Linked DNA regions of Drosophila melanogaster. The protein of the gene in region 1 interacts with the protein of each later gene in a pairwise test. Each region holds a gene or a part of one and is shown in the gene's direction. Other genes may lie near its edges.

Region 1 (5,992 bases):
ACAAAAAGGAACATTTTCTAGTATTATTTTAAAATCATACCAAATGTAAGAATTCTAAACCAAGTCGAGTACCAAGCCCTTTGTATTTAACATGATGAAGTCATAAAACTCTCTGCAAGGTTTTGACAATTAAATAAAATAGGAATTTGTATCTCTGCGCACTTTGTTATTGCCAGCGTTTTCGACTCGTATTTGCCTAAACCGGCCCCTCAGGAATACCAGAAAGCTCCTGAACCCCAACACGTTGCTACAGAGTTCTGCGATGGATGGGGTAGGGCATCAAGGATGTTACTCCGGGATTCTCCGGGTTGTTGGCAGCTTCGAGCGTATTACATAAAATAAGAAAAATTATGATTTCCGCAGGAGGGTGGGGGGAGGGGGGGGAGTGGAAAGTGGAAAGCGTGTACATTTCGGAGGGGCTGGCTGTTGCTTAACTGTCAAAATCGTGTAATTTAATAAAGTTCGCTGCGGGATATTGTTTTTTATAGAAGCCAGAGCAGGACTGAGACAGCTTTTGCCAGCTGCCAAACGGGGAGTGGCTGCTGTTTTTCACGGAAGGGGGGGGGGGGGTGGTGGTGGGGAGAACGTGGAAATGGGGCTCCTAAAGTGTGCTGCACAAACAAAAAATATTCAGTTCACTTCAGTTACATACGGCATATTGCAACAACGCAATGCTGTCTTGTTGCCCGCCACAGGCACTCCACAAACACACTCAAGGGGGGGTCTATCTAGTATACCCTACATATATATATATAGATATATATATATAGAAAAATATACATCCCTATGTATGAAGAGAGCTGCGAAAAGTTTTTATACATTCCACTTGTTTACTTCAAAGCAGCGAAAAAAGTTCTTACTTTGCGAAATACACAAAACTTGTGCGTCGTGGTAAGTGGAAACCAAATAAATGTTAGACTAAATAAATAAATATTACTTCAAGTTTTATATTCCAGTCCTCAAATCCACTTAACATCTTTAAGCGTACAAAATATTTTAAAAAGATGTGTATTTATGAATCAATAATAAAAATAAAACGCAACTAACACAAGGAATATTCACTTTTATAAAAAATGGGAAATACATTTATATGTTAGGACTTCCTAGGATTTCAAAAATTTTACTGCTTTTATTTTATTTTTAAAGTTTATTTTATGTTTAATCTTGTATACTTTTCATATAAGAAGTTACAGGTAAAAATTAGTACCGTTTCCAAGCCTATAAAGAACTTGTATAGCATTCTAAGATACAATTTCATTTTCACACTCATTGAATTTTAAAGCAATGATAATTTCATAATTTTGTAAAATATTTAATACAAGACATTCCTTAAATCCCACCTTTATATTCCTTAACAAAGCTAATTCAGTTTTATACATGTACATATATGTGATTCATAGCTACAACATGATTCTCCCACAAATTGGGCTTTAAGGTAGAATTTCTTGAAACATACTACTTCCAGTTTCGTACAATAATTGTCTTAGATTTCACATATATGGCTTAAAACCAACCTGAATGGCGCCTTAACAAAGCCAGTCCCAGATGTCTTTCTATTCTCAGCTGACGTCCCCAACCATTTGTGTGCCGTTTCTTTTTACGAAGCGAAATTCCTATTTTATTTTATTAGCAGCGAAGAAATATAAAAGTAAACAGTTGGCTCCAAAAACACACATGACTGTGTACACCCTCCTGCCGAAGTAAAAAACGCCCCACGCCTCCCCTGTTTGCCGCGTCATATGAACGCCCCATTATTTACTTAACATAACTTGAACATTCGCCTTCAACCCCCCACAAAAAAAGAAAAGAAAAGAAAGCTCTTCAAGGGGGAGCATCAAAGTTCTAAAAAAAAAAAAAGGAAAGAGAAAAAGGAAAATTCGAAGGTGGGTGGTTAGAAAATGGTGGGGAGGTCGTCGCTTGGCTTACCTGCCAACCAACCAACCAGCCAGCCGGCAGTTGGCTAGTCAAAAAGCTGTCGTCGATGCTAAGCGCAGACCCAGAAAGTCATCAAATATGCAGAAGGTGGAAATGTGCAGGGAGGCTCCACCATTTCACTACCATTTGCTATCCCAACTCCCCGTCAACCGAAAACGGAAAAATGGCGAAAAAATGATTTATGTGGACGCCATGGAGGAACGGAGTGGACGGCAACGAAAAGCCAACAATAACCGGGAAAAATAACAGAATCAACTGATTTCTCAACTTGGCTCTGAGCCTGCTTTTGTTTGCCAGACTTTCGACGGAGAGTGCGGAGCGGGGGGCCTTGGATAGACCCACAATTTTACCTTCCATTCGGGACTTCATTCTTGTTTTTGCCGCAATGAAAAATGCTGAAAGTGTGCTCCACAGACAGCGGACTCCAATGGTATTGGGGTCACCGAGAAGGTATAAGATATTGATGTACCCAGGGGAGCTGCTTTTCCTGTACAGCTCTATTTTTGGAAAAATAACAAGATCCTCATAGAGAAGCTGCATGGGATATTAGTTTTCATCGGAAGCTCTATTTATGCAGTAAGCTTTCATATATATGTATATATGCTCTAATAATAAACAAGGAAGCCCTACCATATTTGTCAAATTCAACTCGATAATTCATTTACATTCCGTTCCTTAAACATATAACAAGGACACCAATTTCGGTCCGAAATTCAAAATTCAAAAAAAAAAAAAAAGGTGAGGACATAAATTATTTCAATATAGCTTTTCTATATAGTATATATACTTCTTTTCACACAGATGTCCGATATCAATTTGACTGCCTATAACGCCTTTCGCCGCGATTTGGCCAGGATATACAAGACATTCAGTTCGTATACTCAAACCGATTTTACTGAGGATTATGGCACCAACACAGACTTCGATTGCCCAGCCGATGTGGAATCAAATCTTTCCAAACTTTACGATCTCGAACTGGAATAGTAGTTGCATGTGGTAGAAGAGAGTTTATCCGATTGAGATGGAGAACAGGGTCAAGGGAACGCACTCGGAGATCTGTATGGAATCTAGCAGAATAAGGCATCTGCAACCGCTCAGATCGCGATCCCAGGATAACGGAATCAGATTATTAGCCGCAAGAAGCGATTTGGCGATGACACCATGGTCTCTACCATCGGAATCTCCATCTGAATCGGATGAATCCGAATCCCAAATCTCAGGTTACACCACAGAGAGTAGCTACCGAACGGTGCCTGGTTACGAGCTCCTTTCGCAAAGTAGTTCGTATGCCAGCAGACAAAATCCCTACGCGTATCCGCCAGCGGACTTCCTCTGGGAGATCTACGTGCCCATCCATAGTGGAGCCACTGAGGAGGACATCCAGACCGTTCATGGGGAGTTGCGGGAATTGCTGGCCAGCGAGATGCATTTAATCAGAGGCGCAAATGGACCAGTGATCTATCTAATTGCATACAGCTACATGTGATCACTTCTTACACATTTAAAATATATAAACCACAATAAAAATAATTATTCAATCCCCATTTGCAGCATACAGATTTATTATTCCATTTAATATATTTTTTTGAGTTATAAAAATATTGACCTCCGGCAAATCCAGTCCACAAAACATACCAATATCTTCAAAGCGAATTGAGCTCTTTTAAAAAGTCATCTACTTAATCACTTTTTCGACTACAAATGATGGGCTTGCCAAACTTCGTTCAGCCTTTTCAATGGACAATCAGTTCTCGAGTGAAGTGTTTGCTTGTACTGCGTGATCTGCGCCTGTTGACATTATGACAAATTACATAAGCCAAAGGCAACAATTGCCGGAACCCATTCCGGAAACGCGGGGAAGGAAGGAAAGAGGGAAGGAAGGAAGGGGGAACAAACCGAAAACGGATACGCTTAGAAGGACTTGGAGTGGTGGGGGGTTTTAGGGGGTGGTTCGGGCTGTAGGCACGTTAATAGGAAAGCCACACAAGAACTGCTAACGAAGGACACGCGGCCGGCGGTTGAGCGACAAGTGCGTTGGGAAGAATTCCAGTCACACACAGGACACAAGGACAACGAGGTCCTGGCAGCGGGGTGGATCGTCTGTTTGCCGAGCACTAAGTGCGCCGGGCAAGTGGAAATGATAAACATATTTACACAATTTTTGACGGGCGAACGGGTGAAACAAAACACCCGTGGGTACAGTCGTACCCTTCACCCCTTCCCCCTCTCCCTCCACCACACCCTCCCCGCAGTTTTCCCATTTCTTCGCTTTTCTGGTGCGCGTACGCACTTGAAACAAGCGAAAGGAAAACCAAACCCAAACTCGATAAATATGTTTATGTGCAAATAACAAAATATTTGTCGATTGCCCGAAACGAGTGATGGGCGGGGTGATGGGCGGACTTTGGCTTCGGGGTAGGGCAGGCTCTAAAGGCAGAGGCAGCTCCAGGGTTTTCAGGGGTTCCAGGGGTTCCATGGGTTCGAAAGAAGCACCGCAAGCGCATAATTCAATTTTTCTGCTCGTTTTGCACATCGCCCGGCACACGTCACTCGAGTCCTTTGGGACACCGACGAACTGCCATGCTACACCAGCTAAGCCCAGCCCAGCTACACTGCGAGAAAAGTACACAACTACACTGCAACAAAAGAGCAGTAAATGAAACATGAAGGTTAGAAACAAGATTCAACATTACTAAAACTTCCAGTTTCATGAAGTGTGTAGTCAACCAGAACTCCAATCCTTTCCCTTGAAATGTGCCCAGATTTAATCATGATTAAAGTTCAGGTTGGTTAAGGTGTTTAAGATATCATACTGATATTATAATAATATATTATACTAAGAATACCTTAGATTTTCCGTTCCGCTTCAAATTGGACCTCTACCAAAAACGGGATAAGTCATTCCCGACTTACTGGATTTTTCCAAAGTGCACGCACTTTGTCAGGGATGCAGTGGATATTAGTGACACGTGGCGAAGGCTCGACCAAGGCGATCCGCAGGTCCCAGCACATGCGGTTTCCCGGATCCGTCCCCCCCCCCCCTCCTTTCCACCCAGGAATCTATATTTATTTGTTTGTAATTACGCGTGTTCTAAAAACGAAATCCCGCCGCACTTGAAGCCGGGAAAATGGCTAAACGGCTGAGCCTGCTCTTTTCAATGCCCGAAAACTTCGGCCGGGAACACACGTGCAGTGGACGACCGCCTCCACTGGTGACCGGGTATTCCCAGCGCATTAGCAACAATGCCGGAGACATTTGGAGTTTGTCAACAGTTTCGCATTGGATTTGGTTACGGCTTTGTTCTCATCAGCGGCGCGTGTCCCTGTCCGATGTCATCTTCTCCACTCTCGACGCGACTCAACGCGACTCGACGCGACTCGACTCGACTCCAATCCGCAGTCAGTTGTCAACTTTCTGGGCTGGCTTTTAGTCCGGGGATTGCCGATTGATTTGGCGTGGGATTTTCGAGTGCGGCACATGTATGAAACGAAATCATAAATGTGACAGGCCTGGATCATAAGCAACTCGCACAAAGAAATCCCTTTGACCATCCTTGAGCCATCTCAAGCAGCAATAAATCATCTCCTTCGGAGCCATTCACCATGCATATATCCTCAAAGAAAACTTTCTGCCGGAACTTTGCCAGTTATATATATTGCAGGAAGTCCCCTCGGACCATACATTTATTCCGTGGCGGAGTGCATAAAAAAGCAGGCGGTCCAACCGAGCAGCCGCAACACTGAGCCCTCCTAAAAGGGCATTCGAAATGAGCTGCTCGGAGATGTGGAGATGTGGAGATGTGAAGATGGTGGTCTGCCACCGGGAAAGCTTTCGTATTTAATTGAAAAACACTTAAGCCCCAGTTCGGAGGAGCCAAAGCCAAAGCCAGGCCAACCGCAAGGCTCTTATGTGACCCTAAAAGACCGACCTCATAACCCCAACTCATCTTCATCACAAGACCTTTCTGGTCGCTCATAAAAACAAAGGGCGAGCGCAAACAAAAACTTTGCATAATTAAGGCGCGGCCAACACATGGGCAAAGTGTATTCAAAGGGT
Region 2 (7,610 bases), on another chromosome or scaffold:
TATTTCGTAACATTTTTAGACAACGTTGAAATTTTCAAGTCAAATCAGAGACGAAATCGTTTCGAAAATAGATAAGCTTATTGGGAATTTGACTAGTGCATATTTCGTTTATTATCCCATTTGGTCGCTTTTTGAGTTAGCAAAAAAAAGTTACATAGGTGAATGACAAAAGTCAGTCGATGCTGTTGCAACAACTTTTAATTGACAGAAAACTTGCGGTCAGGATAAATGGTCGAAGTAGCCAAATGGCACGCATGTTTCCCAAACCCCTCTAGGCATAAATCTACATGCATATGTATGCACATACATGCATACAAATACAAATGTTTAGCCGGTTCAACTAGTTGTTAATAATTGGTTTTTGGTTTTCGATCCTTTTGCCTGTAATCAACAAGAAAAAACCCCTCTAACTTAGCTTTTGGCACTTTTCCTATTTTCGGGTCTTGCATGTTCCTTTAATTGGATTGTGTTTGCTACCACTGACAGCATTTAAAACTTTTTATGGACGTAACCAAAATCACAGAAATCACTGGTAAATTAGTGAGCCCTGTTGGAACTCGCATGACTATTTAAATGGCAATGTTTATTCATTAGCAACCCATTTCTCATCATAATTCAGTCAGTACATGAGCATTTTAGTTGAAAACCTTGTTACTAATCATATTAGTAGACAAAATGAGAAATCATTTTTAACCAGTTTAATCATTTAAAAACAACAATGTTTACAACATTCTGACAAACTAAGATCTTATATTTATTAATTTGACACAAAGTTACGTTGTGACCGTGTCAAAAAAATTTTTACGTTGTTTAAAATCTGCAAAATCTGTTCTAAACACTGCGTTTAATACTTGTGAGCTTGAAGCAAATAAACATAGTTGTCAAACGACTGCTTATAAAATATCCACTTTAAATTTATAGCCCTTATATGACACTTGTCTAAGGGCGAGCGCCCACTGTCTTCCCACACGTTATAATTAACTGGCCCAGATTGCGGAGTATCCGGCACATGGGAAACCGATAAATAAATACGTTTGACTTTTCACAACGTCTGAGTATAATATTACACTTCCGCTCTTATCGGAGAGGCAAACAGTAGGACCAGTGAACACACCGCCGTTAATATTACACATTTTCAGAAGAGTTCTTCGCTGATTTAAGTTCTTATTTCGCGTTCGGTTTAAAATATATTACTCACATTTCGCGCACTCAGCGCTCTGCTTCTTCTCCCTCTCTCTTTGCGCTTTGTCAATTGATTAGCCGTTAGCCGACGCCTCTCTCTCACTGCTCTCTTTAAAGGTTCTTGGTTTCTGTTTTACTCCATTCGATCTTGTTGTTGTTGTTGTGGGTTTTGGTTGTTTGGTGTTGGTTGCATTCCAGTTTAGAAGATGGGGAAGACGAAGACGTTTGAAACCGCAGTACTCTGATTAAGCAATATGATTAACCTTTGTTGTATTTCGCATTTACTATGTAATATAAATTTCGTTGTCAAGCGCTGCAAGAAACACGGAGATATACAAGATTACGTTTGACACTTTAGATTAGCTTTTATTCTTTTTCATACACAATTGTATGCACACTAACACACGCGTGTAAAAAACTCGCGACGGCTGCTGCTGCTCTTCTTCTTGCTCCTCCACCTCTTCTTATTTTTCAAGCAGCAGCCTCTTTTTCATCGTCGCTTTCGCTCTGCTCTTCGCTTCGTATATTTCATACAATTTTCTTTGTTGCAATTTAGGCATTTGTTTTAGCACACATGCACACTAAACACAGGCACGAACACACAGAGGTATTCACAGCAAATTACATTTTGCAGCTCTTTCACGCCATACTGATTTGCCGCCTCGCTCTGGCTCACACACTCACACTCTGGCTACTCACGTAATTTAGCTAACTTTTCGTATTCTTCCTTTGCAGCCAAATCTCACAATTGGATCACTTCGATTCGCTGCGAGAACAAGCACGAGTATTGTATTGTATAATTAAGAATTTTTCTCCGATTTGCTACGACCCCAAAATGTTTCAGTACACACATACACCACACACACACGCGCGCGACGAGGAAGACGACGCAACGACACGTCCGTTATGTTCCAGCGAAAGAAAGAAACAAAAACACAAAAGGGAAACGGAGAATCCCTAACGGGTGGCGGAAAAATGCCTAACGCTAAAATGGAATCGAATATTCGATTGTTCACCACGATTTAATGGTGTGATTTTTCTCAAAATTGCGTTACTTGAGAAATAATTCAAAGCGATTAAAAAATAAAAGCATAAAATTGTGGAAGACATTGGTAAGTCCATGCAAAATTGATCGCTGAATGCATTTCTCTTTTCTGGACTTCTTACTATCTTTAACGGGATACATGCAATCTATTTGCAGATTTTTTAAATTTTTACATGATACATATGAATATTTTTGAGCTATTTAATTCAGAAATTAGCGACGTAAGGGCGTAAAATAAACACACATACGAAAGCAATTTACGCATTGACCATTCCGTTACTTAGTTTTAACATATGCCTGATATCAGGATATTCCATTGATTCGAATTGGCTTTGGTCCACTGTCCGCTAAACAATATTCAGTGTGCCCATTCCGCGATTGTATCCATTAGTGTGAACAACTCGTGATCGAAAGTGGACCCATAAGCATAAATTAGCGTTAATCATAGACTCAAATTGAAATATATATATTTAACACTTTCTTGCTTTAAAGACCGTGCTTTATTTATTCCAACTTACAAGTTATTTTTCCTTTTATTTTTAAGTTCTAAATTTCAAATTATTTCCGTGGTATCAATGGAAATAAAAATTTGTTTAGGTTGTAAACAAAATGCATCGAAAATATCAAACCAAGATAAAAAAGAACTGATAAAGCTGATGTGTACTATGGATGATAGCTTGATTGCTATGAATAAAATATTTATATTATCAATATCAATATTATAATATCAATATGAAAATATGAAAACGGTCTGGCAGCACGGTTCCAAGCCAGCGGGACCGTTTGGCGGTGTGACCAGCTGCTGACACTTTCGGACTCTGGTTTTCTTCGTCAAGAAGGCGTCGACCACACTTACTTTGTGTTGATTTTTAGCGGCGGTTGGTCGTGTGTCGGATAAAGCGGAACGAAGACGAAGGCGAAGAGCAGACGGAGGCGTCAAGTCAAACAAAAGTAAAGTGCAGCAACTGGCAGCGCAGACAAGTCGAAAGGGCAGCCAATTAAATGTAAGAAGCGACGTCCGCTGCTTTACAACAAGTATCGCTGATTGTCCAGCCGAGTAACAGTATTTTTCACGAGGTGCGCAGAGCGAAAGGAAAATCAAAGAGGAAAATCTAATACACAAAAAGTGAAGAGCCAAATTGTTGTTAACAGAGTGTGTGCGTGTGTGTGCTGAGTGCGGCAGTTGTTGTTTTATAGGTGAGAGAGAAAATCGGAAAAAAGGGCGTCGCAGTTTGAAAATTGATGTGTGCATAAAAATCAAGCGCTGCAGCAGCCAAAAAGCGAGAAGAGAGCGCGAGGCAGAGAGCGTGCAAAGCGGTCAGCGAGAGAGCGGGTGGCTGCTGCACCTTCATAACTGTTGTTGCAAAGGTGAGTGCGTGCCGAATATTGTTTTTGGTTCAGAATTGTTTATTTAAGTGTACTCTCAACCAGGCCAACACACTCACAACCACACGCCCGCACGTACCTGCGACCCACGAACGTGTGTGTGCGTGTGTGTTGGCCTGCCTGCTTATTTTTTATGCGGAAAAAACATTGATCCAAACTTTTTCGGGCCTCAAGAACCTCATTTTTGGCTCGCCCCACAAGGCATTAATATCTGTTGTGAACCGAAATGGGTTTAAATAAAAGCTGGTCAGCAGATAAAAGTGAATCCAATATATATGTACGTACATATGTATGTCTGTAGGGAGCCTTTGTTCATTTCAGCTACAAACATCTGAGAAAGAATAAAGTTATTAAGAAATATTTTACTTTGGTAATTACTTAAACAGAACCAGTTTGGCCTCTGCTGTCATATCACCTCGCCAGTTGAATTCGCGCCTCAAAATCGCTGACTTTCCCTGTCATTGCACTTTGATTACCATTTGTTAAAGCCACCGACTCCCCCCGCCCCATCGACAAATGCATGACACAATTAACGTTAATAGCGACTTCAATTCAGTACATAATAGCAGGGAATGCGTCTTGTGGCTTGGCAACAATCACACTTCCCCCTCCTCCAATGCGCCCGTTGATCAATTCACTTAGCTGCACACTTGTGTGTGAGATCGTCTTGGGCAAGTTGGCTTTCTATGGGCTCATCTTCCTGTTTGTTGTCATCATAGTTGGTTGCATTTGTTGTTGTTGTTCGGAGACAGGCACGGTTGAATCCACAACAACACGTTTTTGTCAGCAATTGAATTAAATTCAGCGGGCATGATAAATGTAAGCGGACGGAAAATGAAAAGAATAGGCATTTATAGCGAGGCTATCTCTACACAGAACGAAAAGTATAGGGCTTGTGGAATTTAATAAAGTTTTAAATCAATAAAGCTGGAATATCTTAAATTACTTACTGAAAGTTATTGTGTGATATAATGTGGATAATGTAAATTCCACTTTTGTTCAGTGTAGCTTTCTTGGTCGCTGGTCTCGTTTGCTTGTCAGCTATTTCTGGCACAGTGTTTATATTATTTATTTAATTTCGTGTGCAGATCAGCCTCCTCCCCCCGCTCCCTCGACTAATCTCTTTTGGCCTGTGACAACTGATGATTTTATTTATGATTCTGTGGGATCGCATCGTTCGCATATGCATATTAAAAATTTCAGATAAATATATTTCGTTAGTCCAAATGATTAAACCGCTCTCATTTCTGTTTGCTCATTTGATTTGATTTTCAAAAACGGCCACGAGCATGGAAAAGTATTTGCTTTTGCTCACTTTGTTGCCAACGGCGCCAAAACACTTGAATACCACCCCGCCACCAATGTGAATACATTTTGAGTTTCCGAAAGCCCACAAGAGTGCGAAGACCTAGACTTCGGTCTGCGATGACGTCAAAGAGCAGGTGGCCGGTGGGTGGAGTATAAAAATGCTGGATTATGAGGGAGCAGACTAGGGCATTGTACTTGCTATCTAGCCAGAGGGGTATCAAAAAGGCGATTAGCATGATACAAAATACTGAAAATCACGGCATTCATTTTAATCGAAATAAACGAAATCTTTTATTTAATTCCTGTTGATATAGGGAAGTAATAGTATTCGGACCAGATAAATAATGTAAACACTAATACTGAGTATTCATTTTATTGTTTTCTTTTCTTTTAATTAAAGTGTTAATCTGAACTTATGCTCTTTTGGGAAGTGAAATTAACAATAATACAATATTCCCCTTCTGTAAAGTAATTAATTTCCACCATGATCTTTCGCATTTCGTAATTACCACTTTTCTTTATGCTGAAGCGGCTTGACTGTCAATCACTCAATGACTGATCAATTCGGCTTTAGCCATTTGTTATCCACATAAATGGGCTTTCTCTTTTCCCGCTTCCCCGTCAATTCCCACAGCCGAGATCGAAAACAGTTTTCAACAAACTTTGCGATAAATTACTTTCGGATTCGACCGAGTCCCAGTTTTTGAGACTTCCCAAATCCATTAATCTCCGAATTTTGTGCATTATGCAATACAATCGAAGCATAAAAAAGAGCACGAAAGCACGCAAATTATTTGCATATTTAATTAAGTTTGTTTGATGGGCAAAGGCAACCGCAAAATAAGCAGAGTTAAATGGTGCTGCTGGCTTTTATTTTGTTCTTGAAATTCCCGCGAACCGAACCGATTCCAACCGATTCGATTCGATTTGTTTTTCTGTTCTGTTTATTATCTGCTGTTTTATTGTCTTGGGCGTGTGCCCAAAAGAGAGAGACGCAAAGAGAGAGTGAGAGAGAGAGAGGGAGTGAGGGGAAAGGGAGGCATGTGTGAACCGGCTCTTCGCAAATGGCTTCTGTCCTGGCAACAAGCGACGCTCCCAAACGAAATGTTTCACTAGAGCCCTTCGCCGCTGGTCAGTAATTCAAAATTCACCCCAGAGATAACCCAAAACAATCGCATTTCCGCCTGTGAAGACATTTAATCAGCAAATAATGTACTGTTTTTGAAAAATACATGGTACTCTTACTACCTGAGGTCACCAAATCTTGATTAGATTCGTCTGCGAACTTTTTCCCACTCCCGTACTAATCGGGCTGATTAGGTTTATTAATCATAATTGACTTATAAAGGAATGTTCAATTTGTTCCCCAATGTTTCCTTACTTAGCACAGACCATTGAAACGCTAAGTTCTCAGCGGAACTCTGCAGAAATGGGCGAGGGAGTGCCACAAAAATGGAATTTCTTTCGCAGATTAGAGTTCAGTTACCAAGGTGAGCCTCGGATTATGGCTTTGCCAGGCTAGCTGATGATGTCAGGCATGCTAATTTAGATTAAACGCTTATATCCCATACCTTTGGCTAGACTTCAGTTTCTATGTAGGTTATTCATCAAATTCTTCTGATTTGGTGCCATATACCTAACACTTAGGTAGCAAATCTTCTCGGAAACGATTAGATACACTTAAAAAGATTTCGATAGATATATATAGAGATGTCTCTAGACATTTCTGGTTTCTGGGAAAAGTGTTTTAGCAAAGGAGCGTATCTGTTTGGCAGTGACTCATCCACTACAAATATGCTCGACCAGATGACCAAATATGACAATGACCTTATAAGTTCAACTAAACTATAGCTTTTGTTCGTTATTTTTGCCGTTGCCGCTCTGGTGGCCCCTACACATAAGTTTCAACCACTTCCGTTGTGAAAATTTACACATAAATTGTTAAATTGTTTTGCACAAACAAAAAGAGAGTAACGACAATAGAAATGGCAGTTTTCACTTTCACCTTTTCAGTTTGCCGCTGATGGCGGTGCAAAAGTGGGAAAATGATGGAAAATGGAAGGGGTTGAGGACTTGTCAATCAATAATTTAATATTTGTTTGACGAGGCGACAACAATTCGCAGGAAACTGAGCATCGCACCCAAGCGATGGATGGAAAGCGGCATAAATGTGGTTTTGATGACTAAGGTGCGTCGAGTATCAGCGCTGCTCAATTGAATTGTTAAAGTAAAATAAAAATAAATATATAGTGAAAACATGGCTAAGCCCATTCTCTATAAACATACCAAACTTGATGATAATATCTCAATTTTTGCAGTGTCACAAGTAAAAGGTAATTATTCAATTAGAATTAAGAAAACACGGCATAGTTGGGCACTGCTAAAGCGATTATGAAATTCGAGGGGCTTTTTTTTTTTTTTGCTAAAATGCACATATTTATGTACATATGTATGTATGTACATGCTGCCCCTTTTTGGTTGTAGTGTACACATTCGGTTCTGAACAATTTAAATTCATCAACCGAATGCGATTTGGCATCAGCGACAGGCAAACGTGAATCATTCCGCTTTGGGACTTGAAAAGTGGGTGGGGATTGAAGCCCCCGCTCACCTCATGCTGTTCTGCTCCAATCTGGCTCCTTCGAAAACGTGTTCCGATCTGTTTTCTTTGTGAGTTTTCGTTTTGGAT

What was found.
Region 2: the proteins of CG17344 (region 1) and Dmtn interact in a two-hybrid assay, tested with the Drosophila melanogaster proteins (one large-scale study listed by BioGRID).

Annotation. Positions count from the first base shown.
Region 1 is NT_033779.5:19,099,432-19,105,423, forward strand, and holds CG17344 (uncharacterized protein), read left to right. Parts: upstream 1-2,612; 5' UTR 2,613-2,673; intron 2,674-2,736; coding exon of another isoform or gene 2,737-2,919; 5' UTR 2,920-2,956; coding exon 2,957-3,421; 3' UTR 3,422-3,478; downstream 3,479-5,992. Other genes in the region: CG43731 (uncharacterized protein), read left to right, coding at 2,737-2,919.
Region 2 is NT_033777.3:6,401,363-6,408,972, reverse strand, and holds the start of Dmtn (dementin), read left to right. Parts: upstream 1-3,077; 5' UTR 3,078-3,424; exon of another isoform or gene 3,425-3,489; 5' UTR 3,490-3,595; intron 3,596-7,610.